Linked DNA regions of Notamacropus eugenii. The protein of the gene in region 1 binds, or shares a complex with, the protein of each later gene. Links are inferred from orthologs where the notes say so. Each region holds a gene or a part of one and is shown in the gene's direction. Other genes may lie near its edges. The genes, in order: EED, JARID2 and EZH1.

Evidence for each region.
Region 2: the proteins of EED (region 1) and JARID2 are in contact, whole or in part, in a cryo-EM structure (PDB 6C23), measured with the Homo sapiens proteins. The link is inferred for Notamacropus eugenii from reciprocal best matches to the Homo sapiens genes EED and JARID2. Residues at the interface, in NP_003788.2 of Homo sapiens: Pro95, Phe97, Tyr148, Arg306, Asn307, Tyr308, Cys324, Asp362, Ile363, Trp364, Tyr365, Arg414, Asp430; in NP_004964.2 of Homo sapiens: Pro109, Gln114, Arg115, Lys116, Phe117.
Region 3: the proteins of EED (region 1) and EZH1 are in contact, whole or in part, in a cryo-EM structure (PDB 7KTP), measured with the Homo sapiens proteins. The link is inferred for Notamacropus eugenii from reciprocal best matches to the Homo sapiens genes EED and EZH1. Residues at the interface, in NP_003788.2 of Homo sapiens: Cys84, Val85, Asn86, Ser87, Leu88, Lys89, Glu90, Asp91, Trp103, His104, Ser105, Lys106, Glu107, Val112, Arg120, Leu123, Tyr124, Gln129, Gly130, Glu131, Ile132, Arg133, Leu134, Leu135, Gln136, Ser137, Tyr138, Val139, Asp140, Tyr154; in NP_001982.2 of Homo sapiens: Gly37, Ala38, Lys39, Leu41, Tyr42, Val43, Asn45, Phe46, Lys48, Val49, Gln50, Lys52, Thr53, Gln54, Leu56, Asn57, Glu59, Trp60, Leu63, Arg64, Val65, Gln66, Pro67, Val68, Gln69, Ser70, Met71, Cys83, Thr84, Ile85.

What each region holds. Positions count from the first base shown.
Region 1 is NC_092876.1:115,115,848-115,126,727, reverse strand, and holds the start of EED (polycomb protein EED), read left to right. Parts: upstream 1-5,095; 5' UTR 5,096-5,295; coding exon 5,296-5,409; intron 5,410-10,880. UniProt on the Homo sapiens protein: Polycomb group (PcG) protein. Component of the PRC2/EED-EZH2 complex, which methylates 'Lys-9' and 'Lys-27' of histone H3, leading to transcriptional repression of the affected target gene.
Region 2 is NC_092875.1:187,484,427-187,495,306, forward strand, and holds the start of JARID2 (protein Jumonji), read left to right. Parts: upstream 1-4,930; 5' UTR 4,931-5,722; coding exon 5,723-5,767; intron 5,768-10,880.
Region 3 is NC_092873.1:359,238,323-359,241,922, reverse strand, and holds the start of EZH1 (histone-lysine N-methyltransferase EZH1), read left to right. Parts: upstream 1-953; 5' UTR 954-1,042; coding exon 1,043-1,046; intron 1,047-1,635; exon of another isoform or gene 1,636-2,244; intron 2,245-3,600.

The sequences.
Region 1 (10,880 bases):
CTTCCCCATCCTCAAAAAACTCTCACTTGATCCTTTCCATTTAATATCATCCTATCTCTCTTCTGCCTTTTGTGGCTAAACTCCTTCAGAAGTCCACCTCCAATAAGTGTCTCCATCCACTTCCTCTACTATCTCACTCTTTTAACTGACTCTAATCCAGCTTCCAAAGTCATCATTCCACCAAAAACTACTTTCTCTAAAATTACCAGTGATGGCCTTTTCTCAGCCCTCATTCTCCTTGACCTCTCTGCAGACTTTGATACTAGTGATTACCCTCTTGATAATCTCTTCTTTCCAGATTTTGGGCACACCACTCTCTGCTGGTCCTACTGCCTATGGATTATTATTCCTTCTCATTTTCCTTTGCGGATCCTCATCCAGATCATGCTCACTAATTATGGGTTTCCCACAGGGCTCTTCCCTGGGTTCTCTTCTCTTTTCCTGTATACTACTTCCACTGGTGATCTGATCTCATCAGTTCCCAAGAATTTAACAATCATTTCTATACTAATGATTCTCAAATCTATTTATCTTGCCCTAACCTCTTGCTGATCTTTAGTTTTGCATCTCCAACCTTCTTCAAACAGATCAAATTAGTTATCTCATAGATATTTTAAATGCAAACTGAACTCATTCTCTTTCCCCCTAAACCTACCCCTGCTAAAAATTTCCCTCTTACTATCAAATGTGCCATTATTCTCTCAGTTCCCCAGGCTCACAACCTAGGAGTCATCCCTGATTCCTCACTACTTCTCACTTCTCTTATCCAATTGGTGACCAAGGTCTGTCGATTTCACCTTTGCAACATCTCTCAAGTACACTTCCCTCTCTCCTTTTATACTATCACCACATTGGTGCAGCCCCTTATTGTCTCACAATTAGGCTATTGCAATAGCGTTTTGCTACAAGTCTCTCTCTGCTACAAGTCTCTTCCCAGTCCAACCTATCATCTGTTTAGCTGCCAATGTGATTTCCTAAAGCACTTGTCCAACTATGTTGCCCTGTTATACTCAATAAACTCTGCTGTCTTCCTATCACCTCCAGAATAAAATATAAAGTCCTCTGTTTAGCATTCAAAATCCTTCCTAACCCAGTACCCTCCTACCTTTTCAGTCTTCTTACACCTTACTGCTCTCTGTGTACTATTCAATTCAATTACGCTGGCCTCCATGTTGACTCACAAAGAAGAGACTCATTTTCTCATCTCTGGGCATTTTCTCTGGCTGTCCCCCATGACTAGAATGTTCTCCCTCCTCATTCTACCTCCTGGTTTCCTTCAAGTCCCAACTAAAAGTTTCACCTTTTACTGAAAACCTATCCCTATCTTAATTCTAATGCTGCCCCTCGGTTGATTATTTTAAATTTATCCTGTATGTAGCCTTTTTTTTGTTTTTGGCTGTTTACTTGATGTCTCCCCCATTAGATTGTGAGCTCCTTGGCTATAGCCTTTGCCACAGGGTGTCCACCTAAACCTACTGGGCGTGTGGAGTGCATGGCTTCCTCTCTTTCTCCTAATATCACCAGGATAACAGTACAGTACAGGGGCTGTCCACCAACAATCTTCTGCTAATGCCTTAGGATCAGCCCGTTATCTTTTTCAAGAGTAGTACAATACCCTGGTAAGTGGAAAGGCTGTTAGATCTGGGATCTGAAGACAGGAGTTCAAATATCTGCCTAATGACTGAGTAGTCTTTGGCAAATCATATCACCTTTGTAAGCCTAAGTTTCTTTACTTCAAAATGGAGGAGGGGAGGGTTGGACTAGATAATTTCTTTCAAATCTTCCAAATCAAAACCTATGTACAAAACTTTATATATTCCTCACTGATTTTTCTGCTTTGAAAATGTTGATACAAACTCTTTTCAGCTTCTTGACCTGCCCTTTGGATTACGTACTCATATGAATTCTGCCTTGAAACTGCGAGGTCTTCCTTTAATTTCTCTGATCAAGACTGGGACCATTATTTTCCTTCAGAGGACTCTGCACTTGACAAACTCAATCAATTGTTTTTAATCAGGGTACCTGTCAGAGCTCTACAAACAAAGGACAGATAAGACATGTTCAAAAATAACTTTCATACGTGGCAATATGTAAAAAGATTAAAGCAAGATGCTGTAAAAGCTTAGAAGAGGCAGAGAAACAAGGAAGCAGGATAGGGATGGTAGGGAAGATTTTGCTTATGTTGAGTCTAAGATATCGCTCTGAGACATCCAGTTTGTAATGTCCAATAAGCAGATGGGGATGTGAGACTGGAGCTTGAGAGAGAGATTGAATTTAAGTATAAACATCTCAGAGTCATTTGCATAGAGATGATCATTAAACCCATGGCAAAGGATGAGGTCATCAAATGAAAATGTATTTTAAAGAGAAGGCCCAAGACAGCTTGTAGGAACACAGGTGTCTGGGGTAGGGGGAGAAGGGAAGGAGGGGGATGCCATATGGATGAGAAGCCGGCAAAGGAGGCTGAAAAGGAACAGCCAGAGAGACAGGAAAACCAAGAAAAAAAGTGTCATGGAAATCCAGAGAAGAGAGGGTATACAAGAGGAGAGAGTATTCAAAAATGTTGAGTGCTACAGAGAGGTCAAGAAGGATGGGGACTGAGAAAAGTTCATAAGGTTTGGCAACTTTGGCAAATTTGGAGGGAGCAGCTTCAGTTGAGTGATGAAGTCAGAAACCAGATTGTAAAGGGTTGAGGAATGAATGAAAGGAAAGGAAGTGAAGGCAGTGTGTATAGACAGCTTTTAATCTAGGAGTTTGGCTGAAAAAGAGATCAAAATGATAGCTTAAAGGAATGAATGGTAGCATCTAGGGAAAGCTTTTTCTGGATGAAGGTGATACAGGTACATGCATGGGTTGTTGGCATCAGAGAAGGAACCTGAAGATGGAGGGAGAGGGAGAGGAAGAAGAAGAAGAAGAAGAGAGAGAGAGAGAGAGAGAAACAGAAAAAGGGAGAGATGGAGGGAAGTACAGAGGGAAAAAAAGAATTGGTTGAGATGGGCAAAGTACTAGAGATTTGGAAAAGGGACTGGACTTGTGTAAGGGTAACATCATTATTACAGACTAAATTAAAGTATAAGAGACTGAGGGATGACATCAAGAGGTTTTGAGATGTAAAGGAGAGAATGGGGCCTTAGTTGAGAGCCTGGACTCAGGGAGGGTTTTGAAGAGGGAGAAGGAAGTACAGTAACATTCTAGATTTGAAGGGCTTTTACTGGTGAAGGAAAACGCAGTAATCATTTCAATCAATAAACAAACATTTATTAAGCATTTTCTATATGCTTAATAGGAACAAGTACTGTACTACATACATCCTAGGGATACAAAAAATGAAGTAAAGCAGTCTTTATCCTCCAAAAGCTTACAGTATGGTTGGGGGAAGTAATATATAGATATAAAATTACTAAATTGATGCAAAGTACAATAGGATTGGATACAAGGGGCAGGGAAAGAATAAGGAATATTTTCACATAGAAAATAGCACTTGAGCTGAGTTTTGAATAACACTAGTGATTCTAAGACATGGAGATGAGAAGGGGATGCATTTCAACCATAGAGAACAGTCAGTCTCAAAGTCACCCCTACCCCCAAAAACAAACAAACAAAAAAGCAGGATGGTATATATAAAGAAAGAATGGGTAAGAAGGCCAGTTTGGTCAAACCTAGTAGTATTTGTTGTGGGAAGGGAAATCTATGCAATAAGGTTCGAAAAGGGGTTTGGGGGTCAGATCAGGAAGGAAGGAAATTGGCATTTAGTAAGAGCTTACTATGGTGCCAGGAACCAATTTTGTTGTTCAGTCGTTGGACTTTTCATGGCCCCATTTGGAGTTTTCTTTGCAAAGATACTGGAGTAATTTGCCATTTCCTTCTCTAGTTCTTTTTAAGAATGAGGATACTGAGGCAAACAGGGTTAAGTGTCTTACACAGCTGTTAGGTGTCAGAGGCCAGATTCGACTCAGGAAAGTGAGTTTTCCTGATGCCTCCAGAAGGGACTCTTATCTCCAGACCATCAGGTACCATGCTAAGCATAATTAATATAAGTATTTATACAGCACCACTGTACAATTACAAGCACCCTGGGAGGCAGGTGCTATTATTATCCCCACTTTAGAGCTGAGGAAACCGAGGCACACAGCGGTGAAGCGACTTGCCCGGGGATCACACAGCTGGGAGGTGTCTGAGGCTGGATTTGAATTCAGGTCTTTTGGACTCCGGTCCCAGCGCTCTGTCCGGTGAAGCTCTTTGAACGGTAACTATGAAAGAAACAAGTGATAGCAGGCAAAAAGAAAGGAAGCAAATAAGAGCCTGCAGATTTCCCTAAGGCTGCAGCAAGGAGCGCCAGTGCTTTCCAGATACAACTTCAGCAGGGTAACGATCACTACACCTCTCGCTAAACCAGTGCAGTTTAGGAGGAGGTGGAGCTACTAGCTTTAGGGCGGGGCCAGCGGGGATGGGCGGGGCTCAGTCCAACTGCGGAGACAGTATCATACGACATCCTCGCGCATGCGTGCTCCTTCATAGGTAACTTCCATTTTTTTCGGCGGAGGATCCTAAAGTATCAATACCTCCAGTTATTTACTTCCATTCCAGCATCTGGAGTTAGGTTGCCATAGTCCTTCGACACTCAATGATATGACGACTTCAGTGCCGAAGGCACGACTGCGACCCCTCGCCTCATTTCCCAGGAAGAGAGGCATCTCTTCGTCTCCTTCCCCGCCGTTGGCGGCCCAATGGTCTGGTCCATTCCGGCGGCTCTCAGTCCCCTGAAACCCGTCAGGGGATCCAGGGTTTCGGCCAATTGCTGCTTAAACGGCTTTGGGAGGCGGAAGGGTTGAGGGAGAGTCCCTTCCATTCCCGCCACTCATTTTCGAGGTGGTGGTGAGGAACGGGGCAGAAAGACCAGGGTCTGGAGGGACACGCGGGAAAGAGCTCTTGAAAGCCCGCGGACCCACGACGCCCTTTCGCGTGAACGGAGCCGGGCGGGCGACGGGGGAGTTGGTGGGGGTAGTGGGGTGAGCCGCGGAGGGGCGGGGGGAGCCGCGAGGGGAGGGGAAGCGGAGGCCGCGCGGGCGGGCGCGCGCAAGCGCGCGCCCCTTTTTCAGCAGTGTGGCGGGGCCGCACGCCCGCCCGCCTCGGCGGCTGGGCGCGGTTTGCGACGGTGGGGGGGCCGGAGGAGGCGGCAGTGGTGGAGGAGGCGGCGGCGGCGGCTTTGCGGCCGGCGCGGGCCGGGCTTGCTTGACGGCGGTGTGGCGGAGGCCGCGGCCGCGACGACAGGAGTCCGGGGGCAGGCGCAGGAACATGTCCGAGAGGGAAGTCTCGACAGCGCCGGCGGGAAGCGACATGCCTGCGGCCAAGAAGCAGAAGCTGAGCAGCGACGAGAACAGCAACCCGGACCTGTCCGGGGACGAGAACGTGAGTGGGCGCCTGTGCCGGCGTGGCCCCGCCGTCCGGGCGGGACGAGTGTCATCCCGCGGAAAGGGGGGCGTCGGGAAGCGCGGAGAGCCCCCGGGTGGGGAGGCGATGACGACGTGTCCGACCCCCACCCCTGGGCTCTTTGGGAATATTTCTGTCGTGGGGGAGGGCACCTCACCTGAGTCACCAGTCGCCTCCTCCCCCCACCCCGGCAGGAGGAAGCGCCCGGAGTGCCCGGGTGGGAGCCGGTCGGGGTGATGTAGCGTGGGCGTGCGGCTCTCGGGTGCCGCGGAGGGGAGCGTGGGGCCCGGCGTGCGCTTGACAGGTAGTGCGCCCCCCGGAGCTTTGCCCTCCACCTACCCCCCTCCAGCGCCAGCGTTTTAGTGGGACACACTGGGGCCCAACGAAGTGTAGGGCTGGCCCACGAGGGCGTCCGGGGAGAGGGGACGGTGGTAGAAGGGCTCAGCTCTCTTCGGAAAACTTCAGACCGAGAGCGAGTCGGTGTTGGGGGCGCTGCCCACGCGCCCCTTCCAGTGTGGATGTAGTTCACTTTCTCCGCGCGTGCTCCCATCTCCTGTCTCTGCCTTTGCGCCGACGTACCTTCGGTGCCTGAATGTGCCTCCTTCTCACCTCTACGGCTTAGAATTCTTCTCCTTCCTCCAAGGCTCAGCTCAAGTTCGGCTTCCTACCTGAAGTCTTTTCTGAAGCACCAGCGGGACCCCCGCGCCTTTCCCCAGCTGCTTGTCCTTTCACCTCATCCCATTTTTACTCGTGTATATATATATATACACGCATACATATATAATGCGTATGCTTACATTCATGCATGGATAGACACATCTTACATAGCTAGATTGTAAGCACCTTGAGAGCACAGATTTTAATTATTACTTCTGTATCCCAGCAAATAGCACAGTGCCTGGCACATATTAGGTGTTTAATAAGTTAGTTTATAAATAAATAAATTAATAAATTAGTTTCTTGAAGGATCCTTGGAGGTCATCTAATCCAGCAATCTATCCAATCTATCCATCCAATCCAACCAATCTAATCCTTTTCACAGATGAGGAAACTGAGGCCATGAAGAAGGGAATGATTTGCTTGAGGTTATACATGTTAAGTGGCAGAACTGAGATTTAAATCCAGGTCCATCCCTCTTTCCACTCCTCATTCTAAAGAGAAAGAAGAATCTTTTAAATAAGAGTAGTGAGGAATACTGTGTAATAGAAATCTATAACCTCCAGAGGATCACTGAAAGAAATAGGTGGTTGGGGTCTCTAAGAAGCCACAAAACTTAACATTTGGATTAGCACACCAAAACTTAATCGGGGGGTAAATGATTTGTTCTCCAGACTTCTTATGACAGAGGCAATATGATATAGTGGGATAGAGAGCCAGCCTCAATGCCAAGAAGACCTTGGTTCAATTCCTGGGTCTGTGACATTGTCTGGGTGACCCTAGGCATGTTACTTAATTTCTGTGATTGTGTCAACCTGCTTTGGTAAATGGAGTTTTCTCAGCTGGATATTTACCTGTGGCAGGAAAATCACAGGATAGGCCCTCTTTCTATTCTTGTATTCAGTTTATCTACAATATGTCTCAAAATCATTTTAGTGTTTGTTTTTCAAAGCAACTGATTTTTGTGGTGTTAAGATTCTATTGCTGGTACCATAATGTACTTGATAATCAGACAAATGAGAATCATAGATTTAGAGTTGAAAAGGGGATTCCAGGTCATCTAGTACAATTTTCTTATTTTACAGATGAAAAAAACAGGCTGAAGAGATTAAATGACTTCTCAAGATCACAGAAAAATTTACATCGCGAAACTTGGACTCAGATCTTAAGTTCTCTACTTCCAAGTCCTACACTCCCTGCTCTGTCCTACTGTGCTGAGAGAGCAAAGCTTGTGTTTTACAGATAATTACCTTTATTTTAGACTAAGAAATATTCCAGTTGTACATGTGATTAATTAGTAAGAGATTAATGACCTTTTTTTTGCTTTATCCTGATCTTTTTAAAGAGGACAATGTTAACATTCTCAACTGAGTTAATTTAAAAGAAGTTATTATAAGTATTGGAATCAAACCTAACAGATGTATATATGGAAGAAAAGCTATATGTTAGGGAGATAGGTTAGGGGAAAGAATAATAGAAGAGTGAGGGAAGAGTAGAAATAAAATAATTTTACAATTCTGAGTTGAAGTATTAAAGAAGAAGAAAAAATGCCAGAAATAGTGGAAAGGTATGATAGAAATATCCCAGTAGAAATCTGATGGTGACAGTTGCCTTAATGGAAAACCAGCCCTAATCTATTTAATGAAATGGCAGTGCTTATTTGGAGTTTTATATGAAATATTCAGTACTGTAAATGTTTATTGATAACTTTAAATAAAGGTCTGAATATATGGTAATAGATCCATGAGTATTTTGTGAGTAGTGTACTAAGTTAGCCACAAGGAATTTTTTGTCATTTTAAAACCTTTGAGCTCACAGGAAGTAGAAGGGGAAGCAGTTCTCTCTTTCTTTCTTCCTGTCTCTCTGTCTCTCTCTCTGTCTCTGTCTCTCTCTCTCTCTCTCTCTCTCTCTCTCTCTCTCTCTCTCTCTCTCTCTCTCTCTCTCTCTCTCTACTGCTAATTCAGGGCAGCTAACTGGCACAGTGGATAGACCACTGGCCCCAAAATCAGCAAATCTGAATTCAGATGTGACCTCAGATACTTAGTAGCTGTGTGACCCTGGACAAGTCACTTAACTTTGATTATATCCCCCCAAAATAAAAATAATACCTGGTTTAGGGGGGGAAAGTGGGCACTAAGAATTAAGAGAATTGGGTTCTAGATCTAATTCTAGTTTAAGGAAATAAGTGATGAGTTTTAGAGACAATCATTCTGTTTTCATCTGTGAAATGAGAATATATGGACAGTCATGCATGTGCTATTGTTAAAAAAAAAATAGTGGAGACTATTTCTTATACTGCTATTATTTTATTTCTTTTCCTCCTTGGCCACCTGCTAAGTACTTGTTAAATGTTTCATTAGGAGTATAAAATGAATTCACAGATATGAAGCTTATATTCTATATGAATGTGAAGTACAGGTCTGACCACATCATTTTCTAATAAAAGTTTCAGTAGTTTCTTATTGCCTCTGGGATCAAATACAAACCATTCTGTTTAACATTTAAAGCTTTTTTTGAATCTGCATCTAACCTTTCCATCCAGTTTGATTACATAACCCCCCACCTCCAACCTCCCTCAAGTGCTCTCTATTCCAGCTGTGCCAATCTAGTTGATGTTTCCTTGAATCTAACATTCATGTCTTGTCCACACTTTGCATAGACTTGTGCTTCACACCTGGATGGTGCTCTTTCAGCTAAAGTCTACCTCTTGTAACCCATAACTCCCATTAACTCTCAGCCCAAGCACCACCTCTTTCAAGAGACCTTTCCTGATTCACTCTGTCCCCATCCTAAAATGGCTTCATGTATATTTATATTTACTTTTCTATGTAACTGTTGTTTCCATTTGGCAGAAAGTAAGTTATTTGAAGCCTAGTGTCATTTTATCCCTAATACCTGGCACATGGTCCCCTTGTGTGTGGGTGTGGGTGTGTACACATATACACATGAACACAGGTACATATATGCATATGTATGTTAGGTGCTTAATGAATATAAAATGTTTCTTTTTATCTCATCTATGCATTTTTCCACTGGAAAGAGATCAGAGAAATAAATCAAAATAATTAAGTTGACTACTGCCTTATAGAGAAAGAAAAGATATTAGGTTGATTACTGTGGTATAGTGGAAAGATCATATAGGTCCTTTCTCTCTGTTTCCTGTGTGACCTTGGATGAGTCACAGTTTCCTTGGGCTTCAGTTTCCTCATCATAAAATGAAGGGAGTGGATCATCAATCAGCAGCAAGTATTTATTAAAAGCCTCCCAAGTGCTAGGCCCCCACTGTGCTTGGAGATACAAGTACAAAAATGACACAATTCATTCTACTTAGGGGGACAAGCACATATAAAATATATACAGTGTAAACGTAAAGTTAGGAAAAGTAGTTAAATACAGGATAGTCTGGGAGGGAGGGACTTGCAATTGAGGAGATCAGGAAAGGCTTCATGTGGAAGATAGTGACTGAGCAGCATCTTAAAACTAAATACTTTTGAGATCCATTCAATCTCTAGCTCTGTGATTCGATGATTTTTACTTATTAGTGGAAGAAGAATGAATTTTGAGAAATACAAAAAAGGAAAAAAATTGCCAGGCTACTGATGACAGGACATTTTAGCCAAAATGTAAAGTAATTGCCTACAAATTCAGTTTCTCAGTGGTTTCTAATCTTTTTGAGTTTTGGGGACCTGCCTTTATATGTAGTAGTTGTACTAGAAGATAGGTAGTATTCATCATTATGTATGAGTTCAGTGACAGTTTAAATGTATTTGTATTTTTACAACAGCATCATCATACGTTTGAAAAATAGTAGAAAAACATGTGTGAGAAGTATAATTTATTCAGTCTAGAAAAGGTATGTTTGCTTATTTATTACATAGTCATTAATGACATACAGCCCTTGCTGTTGCAGGCCCTTCCACCTCAGGGTCCATGCCTCAGTTTAAGGGCTAGTGTGGTAGGTTTTAAATGTGTGAAAGAAGAGAGAAATGCTCAGGGAAGAATTTAATTTCTTTCATGTACCTAACTTCAAAATTTCATGTTTTATGCCCTTTTAAAAAATAAACCTCATTTATCTAATTTTTTTCTTCTTGGATTAGGGTATTCATAATTGAAACACTATGTATTTAATGTTGTAAGAGTTGCAGTATTTAAAAAAAGCATTGTATGGCATAATTGAGTTGAAATTAATTTTATTTTGAATAGTTCATGATACCCATTCTGTTGGGGAAACATTGTTGTGTCACAAAAGTAGCTTTGGGAATCACTAATTTAGGAAATAACCCTAGGGGGGATTTCTTTTGATGGTTTTAGTTTAGAACTAATAGTTTGATTCCACTGAGAAAGTATGAAACAAAATTAGCTTAAATTGTATCACAAAGAACAAACTCTTAGACATTTTGAGGAATTCATGATTGTAAGATTTTTGAGCCACTGAACTATATTATCAAGGACAGTTAGGAAGCTGCCTCTGTACATTGAGGGAAAGGTAGGTATCTCCCCAGGGAGACTTAATTATATTCTAGAATGTGGAGTAGTTTGCTTCTCAAGGCCTCTTTGAGTCAGATTCTATAATGGAATATAGATTTCACTTAGTTTTGAATGTTTCCATAATGTCATCAGAGTTTTTCAATTTTTCTTGTTATTCTTTTTCTTCTCTCAAAATAAACACACAAACTCCCATCACAAACAGTTTCTGTAAACCTTGAATCAACCTTCAAGTAGAACTTGAAAGAGAAGTTAAGAGATTATAAGAACTGCTTACCTTGGTGACCTGACTTTTGGGAATTCTATAA
Region 2 (10,880 bases), on another chromosome or scaffold:
ATCAAAAGATCCATACACATATATACACATAACGTGCAAATATCTACATATGCTGAAGCTATATGTATATATACGTAAAACATGAAAACAACTATGCACACACAAACTATATACATACATGCATGCATGCAGAACATAAAACATTCATGTACCCACAATATGTACATATAAAACAATCAACCATGCACACATAAGATAAACACATATAACACACAAACATCGAATACAAGATACATAGCACAAATGTATATAACGTGACTGTGTACATACAATAAGATAAATGGCATACATGCATGCACATAAACACCTGTGCATACACAAAGATATGTAACATGCATGACTGTATAACACAGAGACTACACGTGATATACATGTATACATGTGTGTGTATATATAATACACACATGTGTATGGTAAGTTGTTGGCATCTGAGAAGAAAGACACTAGCATTAATGGAGGCTGCCACAAGCCTCTTGAGGAAGGCAGGACTGGAGCTGATTTGCTACTTGAAGGAAAGTGGGGAATCCCGGAGGAGGTGAGGAGGGAGAGCATTCCAGGTACAGGGAACACCAGTAGAAATCGGAGTAGGGATACGGAGGGTCTTGTTCAGGGTACAGCCAGAAGGCAATGCCAGTGGATTGTAGAGTACATGCAGGGGATGCATACTTCTTAAGTAGAAGAAGACTGGAAAGGTGGAAGGAAGGTGCCATGTTATGAAGTGTTTTAAAAGCCAAAGAGCATTTTCTGTTTGATCCTGGAGGTAGTAGGGACCCTAGTCAGGTCTACACTTTAGGAAGATGACTTTGATTGTCGAGGGGAGGATGGATTGGGGTGGGATGAGACAAGTCAGGGAGAACAGGAAGCAGATTATTACAATAAATAGTGCAGGTGTGAGAAGATGAGGGTCGGTACTAGGATAGCTGCTGTCAGGGAAGAAAACCCACTATACATGAGATGTTTTGGTGGTAGAGATGACAGGATTTCGTAATGGAGCGTATATGAAGGCAGTCAGTTGACATTCCCTTTCTAGGAACAACGGCAATATAAAAGTCTAACCAACTCCAAATTCCTCAGGACTATTAGTGTGTCGGCACCTCAGATACTTACTGGCTGTGTGACCTTGGATGAGTCATTCAATCTTTTTGAGTCTCAGTTTCCCCTTCTGTAAAACAGGGATAATGACATCTGCAGTACTTACCTTATGTGTTGTTCTGGGACTCAAATGAGATGATGTATGTAAAGTGCTTTATAAACATTGAGGGGCCATAGAAACTTCAGGTATTCCTGGAGGACAGGGATGATGTCATATTCAATCTTTCAATCTTTATGTGCTCAGTGCCTTGTCTGTTCTTAATGAAAGCTTGTGCAATTAAACTGAATTTTTATAGGGGTGGTGGTAATAATTGATACAATCATGAAGCACTTTAGAAAACTGGGTAGTAACAGTAATGATAATATTAAATTGGAGTTCGCAGTTCCATATTACTTAGGGCTCCTTGTCTCCCCCCCCCATTTGATTATTAACATGTAATGTGAAAACAAGAGGTAGTGTTTCAGAGTGGTTTGGAGTCAGGAAGATCTGAATTTAAGTCTTTCTGCCATTTCTGGGACTTATCTGTTCTTTTAAAAAAATTTTTTTAAAAAAATTAATGTTTTCAGTTTTCAACAATAACTTCCATAAGTTTTAAATATTCTCCTCTTCCCTTCCCCTTTGTTCCTCAAGATGGCATGCAATCTTATATGGGTTCTACACATACATTCTTACTAAATGCATTTTCATATTAGTCATGTTGCACAGAAGAATTAAAACGAATGGGAGAAACCATGAGAAAAAGCAAACCAAAACAAAACATAACAAAAGAGAAAACAGTCTGCTTCATTCTGCATTCTGACTTTATAGTTCTTTCTCTGGATGTGGATGATATTTTGCATGGAGTCCTTTGGAAATGTTTTACTTCCTTGCATTGCTGTGAAGGGCTAAGTCTATCAGAAACAATCCTTGAACACTGTGGTTGCTACTGTGTATAACGTTCTCCTGGCTTTGTTCATTTCACTCAGCATCAGTTCATGTAAGTCCTTCCAGGCCTTTCTGAAATGTTTCTATTCGTCATTTCTCATAGCACAATAGCATTCTGTTACATTCATACACCACAATTTGTTCAGCCATTCCCCAATTGATGGGCATTCCCTTGATTTGTAGTTCTTGGCCACCACATAAAGAGCTGCTATAAATATTTTTGTACGTGTGGGTCCTTTTTCCATCTTTATGATCTTTTTTGGGATACAGCCCTAGAAGTGGTATTGCTGAGTCAAAGGGTATGCACATTTTTGTAGCCCTTTGGGCATAGTTTCAAATTGCTCTCCAGAATGGCTGGATCAGCTCACAGCTCCACCAACAATGAAGTAGTGTTCCAACTCTCCCACATTTTCTCCAACATGTATCATTTTCCTGTTTTATCACGTTAGCCAGTCTGATAGGTGTGACTTATCTGTTCAACTTTTTTGTTTCATGAACCCATTTGGTTGCTTGGGGAAGACTACTTATTCCTTCTCAGAACAGTACTTTAAAAATCACAAAATAAGTAGGATTACAAAGGAAACTAACTTTATTGAAACAGCGATCACAATTGAAAACAATAACACACACATGTTCTAGGATTTACCTTTCTCTGAAATGAACAGGAATGTGATGGAGCCTTAGCTTCCTAATCTGTAAAATGGATGGGGAGGTGTCCTCTCAGGTCAGTTTCCAGCTTTAAATCCTATGATTCCAAATCTTTACAATTTATTTCACAATTACAAAAAGCCTAATATATTAGGGTTATTGTGGCCAAACATTTCATCATCTACCAGACCAGCCTCCAGGAGGTGATCAACCTGCAGATTATTTCCAGCGATGACCTACGTCCAAGAAGTAGCCACGGCACAATATGGAGAAAATGTATGGTCAGAAAAGAAGGTGGGTCATACGTCCAGACTAAGGAATAACAAGTGGACTGCTGGAACACTGCATTACTACCCACAAAATGCAGAGATCTTCTGTGAAGGATCTATGGGAATAGGAATCAGAGAAGGCGCAGAAAGGTTATCATCTGAGTAAATGGATTCAGGGTTTCCATGAGTGAGATCATAGATTAGCGCAAGTATTAGGGTTAAGAATATGCTAAAAGTCATCAAAAATCGTATGGAAACAAATATAATTCTATCACTTCGGGTTAAATTTTTTTAAAACTTCTGAACAAAAAAAAAAACCCCTTAACATTTACAAAAATCCTAATTAATCGTCTCAGAGGTTCACAAGGTCCCTAAACTCTCCATCTTTTAAAGTCAGTATTCAAACTGGAGGACAAAAATGTGACTTTGGGAACAAGCTTGAGAACAGACACGATATCACCTCTCATTTATTACAGAAATCATTTTCCCTGGAGTTTGTTTTTCCTTCTCCGCCTTAGAGACTTTAAAGCATGGCTCAGGCAAGACTGAAGCTACCACAAAGTTAAACAATGCCGTCTCGACATCTGGTCCCTGACAAACTTGTTAGAGAAGGCTAAATGTGGCTGGTAACCCGGGCCCGCCCGCACCCGGGAGCCGCCGAAGGTACGAGGGGCAGGCGGGGCACGCCCGGGGCTGCGGCGCGGCCAGGGCTGGGGGCTCCGTGGGCCCACGGACTGCTTGCTGGGGTGCCCAGCCCAGGAGCCAAGGGGCCAACGCACAGCCCAAATGCACGTCGGCCCTTCGCAGAAGGGACAAGCCTCTTCACTCTGCCCCCACTCCCAGAGCAGGCACCCTCCAGGCTCCGGGGGAAGCGCTACCACCTTCGATGAAATGACAGTGGGACCCCCCGGGGATACGGCGTGCACGAGCGGGGAGCCCGGATTGCAAGCGGGTGATTACAACCGCCCCGCTGGCCGGGAGCTCGCATTCGCAGGCCGTGGGCTGTGTTGTGTGTGTGCCTGTGTGCAGCCAGGCAGGGTGCGGGGCTGTGGGGACGCCGGGGTACGTGAGAAGGCAGAGGTGACCTCAGGCTACCCTGCAGACGGATTCTGAGCAAGTTCTGCACAAATAAGCCACGCACGGTGTCCTGGAGTGACACCGGCTCGCGAGCCCAAGCAGCAGGCGCCGCCGATCAACTCGTTAGCAGCGAGGATTCCTCCTGGTGTCTGGCCCAGTTTTCCCCCCCTCCCCCTCCGGTACGGGCTCCCCATGCCCTCCACCCTCCGCAGCTCTTTCCAAGGAGAGAGGGGGGAGCCCTCCCTACCCTCCGCCCCTCCCCGGCTGCAGGCCAGGTGCGCAGGGCCGAGCAGCACGATTCCTCGAGCTCTTACAGGCGGCGCCTCGCGCCCCGGGGTGGGGGTAGGGCGGCGGGGCTGGGGGGGTTGGGGGGGAAGCCATCGCGTGAGAGAGGAGGAAATGGGAGGGGGGAGGCCGGAGTGGAGATTGGGGAGTTCCTCGCTCGCGGACCACACGCTCTTCGGGCCAATCGGGAGCCAGCCTCGGGCGCTGTCGCACGCGGGACACGTCCAAGCGTTTGTTGGCAAGGGTTGCGGGGAGGGGGAAAAGAGGAGAGAAGGGGGAAGGGAGGGCGAGGGAGACGGAGAGTGGCGGTGACGCGCGGAGCAAGCTGGGAATCGTAGTTCTCTACCCCCACGGCCATAGCCATTTTGTAGTCGGGGGACTACAACTTCCAGGAGATCAAGGGGACGATTCTAATGCGCCCCGGTAACAAGCGGCTCTCCCCTGGGGCGGGGGGCTCGGTGCACGCGCGGTGGGCTGCCCGGCTGCAGGTAGATGCCGGAGCCGTGGCAGCGGCTCTAGCGTGAGCTTCACAGCGCTAGAGACAAGCTGGGGAAGGGGAGGGGAGGGAAGGGGAGTGGAGGGGGGAAGGTGGAGCGACCGAGCGTGCCATGCAGTGAGCGAGGGAGTATCTGTCAATTACACACCTGGGTTCGGGGCCGGAGAAGAGCCTTGCGGGTTGTCTAGAAGCTACTTGTAGAGTTCCCCCCGACCTCTTGGCTGCAGGGCCAGGGGTCTCTTCGGTCTTCCTCCGGAGGCTTTCAGCGCTGTGGATGGCGTCTGTTCCGTAGTCTTGCTGAAGAAGTTTTCGGCTGGGGTGCCGATGGGCAATTGCTTGAGGATCCCTAACTTGTATAAAAGCAGAGTCCATTTAAAGTTGGGCTGGAGAGCGACTCTCATTGGTTAGGGTGCTTGGAAAAAAGAGACGCGGTGCAGCCCTTGCTGTGGGGCTGTGCTGCCTCTGCCGCCGCCGCTGCTGGAGTTGACTCTTCTGGTCTCACTGCTGCTGCAGCATAAACGTGACTTCCAACATTTTTATTTATCTTTCCCTTTCCTTTTCCAAGATGTAACTACAGATCAGACACTAAGGACCTTCACGTTTTGCTGATGTAGTTTTTGGAGGAAAAAAGGGGGAGTGAAGGGCGTCGGTTTTTTTTTTTGTGTATGTGTGTTTCGGGGGAAATTTTCCATTATGAGTGTTTTACTAAAGTGAATTTTTTTTTGTCTGCTTCGTCTTTGGCTTTTTTTTTCCTTCCCAATTTCGGATTTATTTAGAGGCGAATCTAGCTTTGGGGGAAGAGGAAGAAAAGTCGGATTACAACCATCACCAACAACAATAAAAACCACCAGGATATTTTTTTGCAAATTTCTGACGGCTTAAATTCATGAAGCAATTGTCCCCTTTTGCAATCAGCATTTGGATCTCAGAATGAGCAAGGAAAGACCCAAGAGGAATATCATTCAGAAGAAATACGTAAGTGTTCTTAACAACCCATCCTTTGACTTGCAGTTTGAAGCAATGGCTGTGAATGTCAAGTTTATAGATAATTCTGCTGCTGAAAAGGTTTTACATACAGGGTCCTATGAGGCTGTTTCTTTCTTTTTTGAGAGGGGGATTTTTCAAGCGAAGTCTTGTCTGTCCAGTCTGGTTTACAAAAACACATCGGTGTAGAGATACCCCAAGTGAAATTGACCTCAGATGACACAATCATCCTCTAGTTTCAGATGAAAGGCAAAAGCATTTCGGCAGAGCTTCAGGGCTTGCAGTAACGTAACCCAACTGCATTCTCCAGCGGGTTTGTCTATGGCACTTGGCATACAAATGAGCCAGCTTATTATTATTTTTTTAAAAACTGTGGACTGTGCCGTAAGCCCTTTAAGTTGAAATGGAGTGTCCGATGATGGCGATCTCGTCCCTTTGCACTGGCACATCCAATTTAATGTATGTGGTCGTTTTGCTTATCTGGTTCGCAGTAGAAACCAGTTGGGAATCGTGTTACGGTGAATGCATTTGTTGGGATGGACTTTAATAATGGGGCAGTGGATTAGTTTTGTTTCAAAATTCATGATTTCCAGTTTTAGGGGAGAATGTGTGAGACTTTAGTGCTTGTGTGCGCATGTGGATGTATGTAACTATAAATAATTTCACTGTTTTAACTGGGCTTCCGTAATTGGGTAATCTCCCAAGATTGAAACGTGTGGGAATAGTTCAATATGTGGTTGGTACAGCTACGTTTTGATTGGCATGGGGAGTGTTTTTGTTTTTGTGTGTGGTGGCTTCTTTTTTAAGTGGGGGGGAGAGGGAGGGAAGAAGGGAGACCTGGGGGGATTAGCCAGAGAGGCTCTCGAGCGATTGGTGATTTATCTGCATGCTGAAGATGAGAGAACCCATTTTTAAAAGACCACATCAGCATTCCAAGGGGTGCAGGGTTTTAACAAAGTTTCCGACCGAGACGCCCAAATCGTGTTTTCCATTTTCTTTTTTCTCGGGGTGTGTGGGGTGACCTTCGGGACACTTACCTTTTTGAAAAGGGACTTCATTTCAGGAGAAGCCAAATGACTTCTCTCTAGAGTTGGACGTCTTAAACTTAAGTGTGCAGGGAGGGCGAGGGGGAAGAATCCAGAGCAACTGAAAGCTGTTCTCTAAAGAATTTACGAATTAAAGATACATCCGCATTGCAGAGGACTGGGAGAATGGAGAAGACTGGTTTAAAACTCTGGCTTGTATAAAACTGCCCGGAGACCCAGCCTGGTGTGGGGACATCTCCGCCCCGTCCTGGGCTGCTGCCGGCCTCGGATGCATTTACCGAGCCAAGAGAAAGGGAAGAACTTAGACGGGAGGGAAGACCCCCCCGGCCCCCGCTAAGTTCGACGGGGTGGGTTTTTGTTGGTTCACCGTGAACAATGTGTGAGCCCCGCTCCCGCGCTGTCCTCACGGCCCAGCCGGAGGTGCTGCTCTCGGGGGCCCCGCCGGCTCCCATCGCCCGGGCTGCCCGTGTGCCTCCCTCCGTGGGAGAGCATGTGTGGCTCTGTAGGGGAGAGGAGGGGGCGTGTGGCTCTGGAGGGGACGGTTTTCTGGACCGCCTATAGGGGGCGGATTTCTGGCTCGTGGGGAGGCTCCGACTCCTTCCCGGGTGGAAGGCCGGCGGTGGGGGGGTGGGGGAAGGGAGTGGAAGCCGCGAGCCGACGAGGTGACGGCGGGCGAGCGCGCCGCCGCGGGCACGGTTTCTGGTGGGGAGGAGGGGTCGAGGGTGGGGGAGGGGGGCGGATGCGGCTTGGGGGAGGGGGCCGAGCTCACGCACAACTGCAGCGAGTAACCGACACGCACGCAGATTCGAGCATGGCGGCCCTCGGGCCGCGGGCGGCCGCCGGACCTCGCTCGCCGCCCGGCCTCTAGACCGTCGTGCATACGTGCTAGCGAGCAACAGGTTAAAGCCGGCGAAACGTCAGTGCGGGCCCCCCCCGCCCCCCCGCCTCCGCACCCCCTCCCCCTCCCGGATCGTAATCACTCCGGGCCTGGGCCGCGTTCTGTTGTCATTGTGACGTCACAAAGGGAAGGGCTTGGGTGGAATCTCTCCCTCCCTCTTTCCCGGTGACGTTAAAAAGTAAGGCGGGAGGTTCCCGGCGCGTCGGGGGCTGGACCGAGAGCGGGGCGTGGGGGGGGGTGGGGGGAGACGTGAGCGGAGTGGAGGTGCGGGCCCCGCGCGGCGTGGGCGTGTGTTGGGGGCGGGGCGGGGATGCCACCTAGGGTGCCCCCAGGTGAGGGCACCTGGAGAGCCGCCGACCTGCGAGCGGGGGTGGGGGTGGGGTGCGGAGGAGAGTCCTCCTTCCTGCAGAACCGGATTAGTCATCTCCATCCCGGGCCCCCGATGGGGTGCACTTGTTTGTTTAAAAAAAGCCTGGACACTTGGGCCCAGGGAGCCTCTCGTCCTCGCTGAGTCTGGGGGCACTGATGTGTGGGCCGGTGGGGAGGGGCCCCGTTCCAGACCCCCCACCCGCGGGTGCCCTCCCCTCCTTGTGGAGCAGCCCTGGAAGGTCTCCCACGCCCGTGGGCCAGAACGATCGCCCGACTTTGGGGTGGCTCGTTCCGAGGGCACTCCTCCCGCGCGTGGCCGTCCTGAACTGGAGTGGTGCCGGGCTCTCCTCCCGAGGCCGCATCTTTCAGCCGGGAGAGATGCTTCCCATGCCCTCATCTACGTGGAGGACGACAAAGAGGTGACCGGCTGTCTGGACAGTTCCAGCACAGGAGGGTTGGGGTACCGCCGTCCGCCTTGGGGTCCCCTGCCTCCGTCCTGTGCGCTTCGTAACCGGAATGAGCTTTAAGTGAGCGCTTGTGTCCCACTAGGGTAGCTGCCCCTTCTTACAGGAAAGTGCCAGATCGGTTTCTAAACTAGCCAGTTCTTGATTCGGGCAGTTGGGCTTTGTGGAGTCGGTTGCTTTCTCTCATTCTGCCCGCCTCTCGTTGTCTAGAAATAATAATAGCTCACTTACACAGCAGGAGCTTTCCATACAGTATGCCGTCAGACCCTTACAACACACCTTGTGAGATACTGTCATCTCCATTTTACAGGCGAGGAAAGTGGTGCAGAGAGTTCTTAGTGACTTACTTGCTCAGAGATTCAGTCATCTGTCACACAGCTACTCACCTGCGCAAGCCTGTGTTTAAACGAAGAAGCCTTCCGACGTTAAAGTCCCATTTCTTCCTTAGTGCCTTGTCAGGTTATATTTAATTTTCATTCATTTTCCAAACGGGGGAAACTGAGGCACAGAGAACTTGTGACTGTTGTGTGTGTCCGTTCTTCGTTGCCAAAGAAGACCATGCCATCAGAGAAATAATGACATGACCTGCACTTGACTTTGTTTGGAGTGAGGGAGGGCTGTGCAGGTCACCAGCCTCACTTCTCCTCTGGAGCCATCTGAATCCAGTGACTGGAGATGACCCAGGATGAGGCAGTTGGGGTTAAGTGACTTGCCCAAGGTCACACAGCTAGTGAGTGTCAAGTGTCTGAGGGGAGATTTGAACTCAGGTCCTTCTGACTCCTGCTCTGTCCACTGCACCACCTAGCTGCCCCAACTTGTGATTGTACAGTTCTTAAGGTTAGGCTTTTTGCTATGTATATTCTTTCTGCCAGGTCTTCAAAGAGAGAGAGACTAGTGAATACTTGGATGTGAAAAAGCCTAAAGTGGGTTACTGAAATCAAAGGAAAATGAAGTTTTGCAACCAATAAAAGCAATCAGAAAAAAAGCTTCAAGTATATAATATTAAAACTCAGATCTGTACAGCCTGATCAAGGTTATTAGCTAGGCCTGCCTTTACTTAGGCTAATAATTGACTTCTGAGTTCCAATAGTCATTCCCTTGCTTACCAAGTCAAAAAGAGTTGTTACTTTGTGAGACTGTCTGAAGTTACACTTATAAAGTATGTTAAACCAGTAAGTCCTGCAGGGCTAAGGCCTGGGTTTTTAGCTCTTTTCGTAGTGTTTTAGGAATAACATCAGTGTTAACTCTGGTGTACACTCTGTCCTAAAGGTTATTTCAGTTTTCCAACTCCAGAAAGATCTTTTGGAGTAGTAGGACTAACTACATTTTTCCATATAAAATAAGAGAGATTTTCTTTTCCCCATATGCTCTGAAATAAGACATTTAAAAAGAGAGAAATCCATATCCAGGCTGAGGTTTGCCCTTGACCTGTATGAGTTGGAGTGTTGACCTACTTACTTGAATAAAGAATGAGTAACAAGGTGAATTTAAAGTACTGTATTTGTAGTTCCTATAGTATAAAATGGGCAGATTTTTCCCCCCTGAAATAAAAAGTTTTGGGAAGGTCTGCTTAAAATCACCTTAGTTTAGTTATTGACAATTCAGAATGTGAAACCTTAGAATTTCTTAGGTGCATAGTTCTAATCCTGGTACTAGTATCAGTGCTCTGGAGAAATCAAAGCTTTATTTAGCACCACTCAGTCTGTTAAACATAGTTTATACAAAGTAAGTAGCTTTTAGTGGAATGTGGAGTGGGGGTGGGGGGACACCGAGTTTTATAAGAATGGTCATTCATTGAGGTTGATTGTCTCTGAGATAAAAGTGTTTGTGGTGTGCCTTGGATGCTGTGGTGGGTTGTTTTTGGTGAAGCAGAAATATTGGTAATTTCCTTCTGAAATTCACAGCTTTTGAAAATAGTTGTCTTGATCTTAGTAGTTGCTTAAATGCTTATTGATTGATTGGGGGTCCACTTTATCATAGTTAGGAAGCATAATGTGTGTTTAAATAGTGAAGAGCCAGGCTTTTGTGGTTCATAGTCTCTTCTGAAATGAGCAGAAATAAACTGTGAATTTCTTACTGCATTTTCCCCAAACCCATTTTCTACATGCCCTCCCTGCCCCCCTTTTACTGCTCAAGTCAAGCAAATTGCAGGCTTCTCATGTGACCCTCTCTAGCCTCTAGGCTAGGTACCCAGCACTGATATACATCACTGTAAAATATAATTAGCATTGCCCTTGTTTCCATGTTTTTGGTTTTTTTTTTTTTTGCCTGTGTGTATGTTTTGTCTTGTCTCTCTCTTTAGATTATAACGTCCCAGGGGATTCTGA
Region 3 (3,600 bases), on another chromosome or scaffold:
AGTCAGGCTGAGCTGCCTTCCAGCTGTGGAAGAAACCAGCCCCACATCAGGTTGCTGAAGGAAAAGATTCTGGGAAGACATGAGAGGAGTTCTTTTTCTCCATTATGTCCCTGTTCTCAGCTTGCTACTCTAGAGACTTCAGGGGAAGTTTTCCTTGGGTGGGATTCAGGATTCTTTCTCGGTTGAGCTGAGTTATTTTTCTCCTAATGGAACAGCTCCCTCATTTTGTATTGTCTGGTATTTATTTTCCCATATATACCTTCTCTAATTTGTTTTGATACTGATTGGGATAAATGGAATTTTTTTTTTGCCATTTGCTATATGTGTTCATTGTATGGAATTGGTATTAGCTGAGCAAGGGGTCGTCAGCCTGGGGACTACCCTCCCCCCCATGACTCCCTCTCCCTGAGGAGAGCAGAGGGGTGGCCGGTGGTCGGTCCCAACCTCCGGCTTCCCCTTCTAGCAGTAATGAAAATCTCCCTTGGAGAAGGGGTGGGGTGGGGAGTAAACGGTAGAGATGGGTAATGTCTTTCCAACCACACACAAGGGTCGCCTTGGATAACCCCTGGCCTCCCCACAAGGGGCCCCTCTACCCAAGTGGGACCCTCTAGTCATATCTGCCCTGGAGCATTTATGAAGCTCTTACTGCATGCAAAGCACAGAAAAGGAAGAAGCCCGTCCCTGCTCTCAAGAGCGCACATGCTACTATCATATCTCGTGTACTGGGTGAAAGCGGGTCTCGGCTACGGGGCACACCTTCGTACCCGGCAGGACCTGCCCATCCTGCTTCCGGCGGTCCAGCCTCTCAAGGCGAGAGTGGGGCTCACGCGCCCGCGCCAGACACCCGAGGTTCGTAAGCACAAAATGAGCACGCGACGAGGAACGCCCGCGCCCAAAAAGAGGCCAGCGCAACCAGCCCCGCATGCGCAGGCGCAGACGATCCTGAGCAAGCGCAGGAAGGAGGGCTGCGCAGGGGGCGGGGCGAGGAGGCTAGTAGGACGCATGCGTCCTGACCACTGGGTTCGCCAGCCTAGGATGGAAGATGAGTGAGTAAACAAGTCCCGGGCCGGGGAGCGGGACTCTGCATGGGGGGGAGCTTGTCGGATGGGACCGAGGGGTCGGGGGTGAAGAGGGGGTAGGGACGTGGGAAGAGGGGGGCAGCCTGCCTGACCGCGTTTGTGGGGAGGCCCCTGGTTCCGGGCTGTGAGGGAGGAAGGAAGATCGCGCGGGTGGGAAGGGGAAAATTCCCTTGGGCTCGAGAGGAGGAGGTGTCTGCCGTCTGGGAGCACCCCCCCGTGGGGGATGGGCCAGGGGAGGCGGGGCCGCGCGAGGTGGGAGGGGGAGGAGAGGTCTGAGGAGGACGGAGGAGAGGTGTGGAGAGTTCACGGAGGGGGATGGGCGGGGCGCGCCAGGTGCGCGGAGGTGTTACAGCCCCAGGGCATCCCCTTGGGAGGGGGGTGGCGTCTGGGAGGGTTGCCGTGGGTTTGGCAGGGAGGGGGTAACTTTAGGAGAAAATCCCTGTACAGCGAGCGAGAGGGGAAAAGTGGGGTGTATGGGGAAACGGGGTTCTTTTAGGGGATAAGGCAGTTTTCTCTGAGGGGCATTCCACTCTGCAGGTTGGGGTGCGTAACAGTAAAAGAGCGTATGCTGGGAATGGACGTACATGTTTAGGCTTTGAATGAAAGTCGGCCTGAAATTCTTAAAGGGTTTGTGTGAGTGTACGAACCCCTTTCTCTCCGTTTGAATGACGACCACCTGATTGTTGGTCCTGCTTATCTCTCGCCAGGATCCTGGGAGTTAGGCGCTGTTATTATCCCCATTATTAAGTGGTTTGCCCAGGGTCATACAGCTGGGGCCAGATTTAAACTCAGGTTTTCCTGATCGCAGAGCCAGTCCTCTAGCTTAACCGGTCTCGCTCAACAAATTTTACGTGCTCTGTGCCAGGTGAGAAGCAGTTTGGCATATAGAGCAGCAGCCTTGGTGTCAGAAAGGCTTGGAGAAGCCCTGCCTCTGACAGTTTGCTGGCTGGGTCATCCTGTTATGCACAAGGCAATATGCTAGTTACTGGCAATCTACATATCCTTATCACCTCAAGACACTAGTACAACAACTTTGTATCCGGAAGAGTAGCAGATTTACATTGGTGGAAGGATCTTTTGTATTGTGTGACTTGACTGTACAAATGAAATAATAACTGCAAATGAAATTATAGGTGTGGATCTTTCCTGTCACCTACACCTACGCGTAAGTATACAAAGCACTCTTCTAGGCATTGAAGATACAAAGACATTAAATGAAAAACAATTCTTGTTCTCAAGAAGCTTCTATTATATAAGGCATACAACATGTAAATAAATAAGTAGGGGAGGACCTTGAATAATTCTCAGGCTAGTATCTTTCCTCTGCACAGCTATCAATATAATCATCCTAAAGAACAGATCATTCTGCTCAAAAATGTTCCCGATACCTCTTGGATAAAATGTACACCCTTAAACCTTATGTTTAATAGCGACTACTATCTGACTTGTCTACTTTTCCAACCACATTTCATCTACTCTACATTAGAGACAAATTGGGCTATTTTTACCTGCTTCTCAAACTCAACATTTCATCTTCTGCTATTGTGTATTCCCACAAACTGTTCCCAGTTCCTGGATATTGATTGGTCCTATACTGTGTCTCTCGGAAGCATCATCTTCCTTCCTTCATATGCAACCATATGAGGTTGCATAGCCTATGTAGAAACCTTACCTGATCTCCCCAAATTATGATTCTTTCCTTCTTTAAATTATGTTGAGTATATATTGTATCCCTTACTAGAATGTTGACTGAGAGCAGGACTGTTTTGCTTTTTTCTTTATAGTCAGTAAACATATTAAGTGCCTATTGTGAGTTGGCACTGTGTATCTTTGGAGATACAAAGAAAAGTTATAACAGGGTCCTTAGCATCAGGTAGTAATTATTGACATAGAAGATATATATACACTGTAACTGCAAGGTAATCCCAGAAGGAAGATACTGAGGTCCCAGAAAGATTTCCTGAAGAAGATGGTATTTGAGTTGAATTTTGAAGGAAGTCAAGAGACAGAGATGAGGAGGGAGAGCATTCCAGACATGGAGCTTCTTCCATGGACAAGGAGGCACAGATTTGGAGGTGGCCTGTTGTCTTTAAGGAATAGCAAATAGGCCAATGTAGCTGAATTCCAGAATGCTTGGAGAAGAGCAGAGTTAAAAAAAAAAACAAAAACTGGCAAAATAGAAAGGGACCAGATTGTGAAGGGCTTTAAGTGCCAAATAGAGGATTTTATTGGGGGGAGAGGGGTGGTTACATGGTCAAACATACACTTTGAGAAAAATCATTTTGGCGGCTGCTTGGAGGATGAGTTGTAATGTGGAGGAACTTGAGACAGCAAAACCTACCAGAAAGCTGTTGTACTAGTGTGTCTTGAGGTGATACGGATACGTACATTTCCAGCAACTAGCACATTGCATTGTGCAGAACAGGAACCTAATGTTTATTAAAGTGGAAGGGTAGGTGAGCCCCTTCCTCAGAGAACTCAGGGTCTACGGTAATTGATTGTAATGGTATGTCCCCATCCC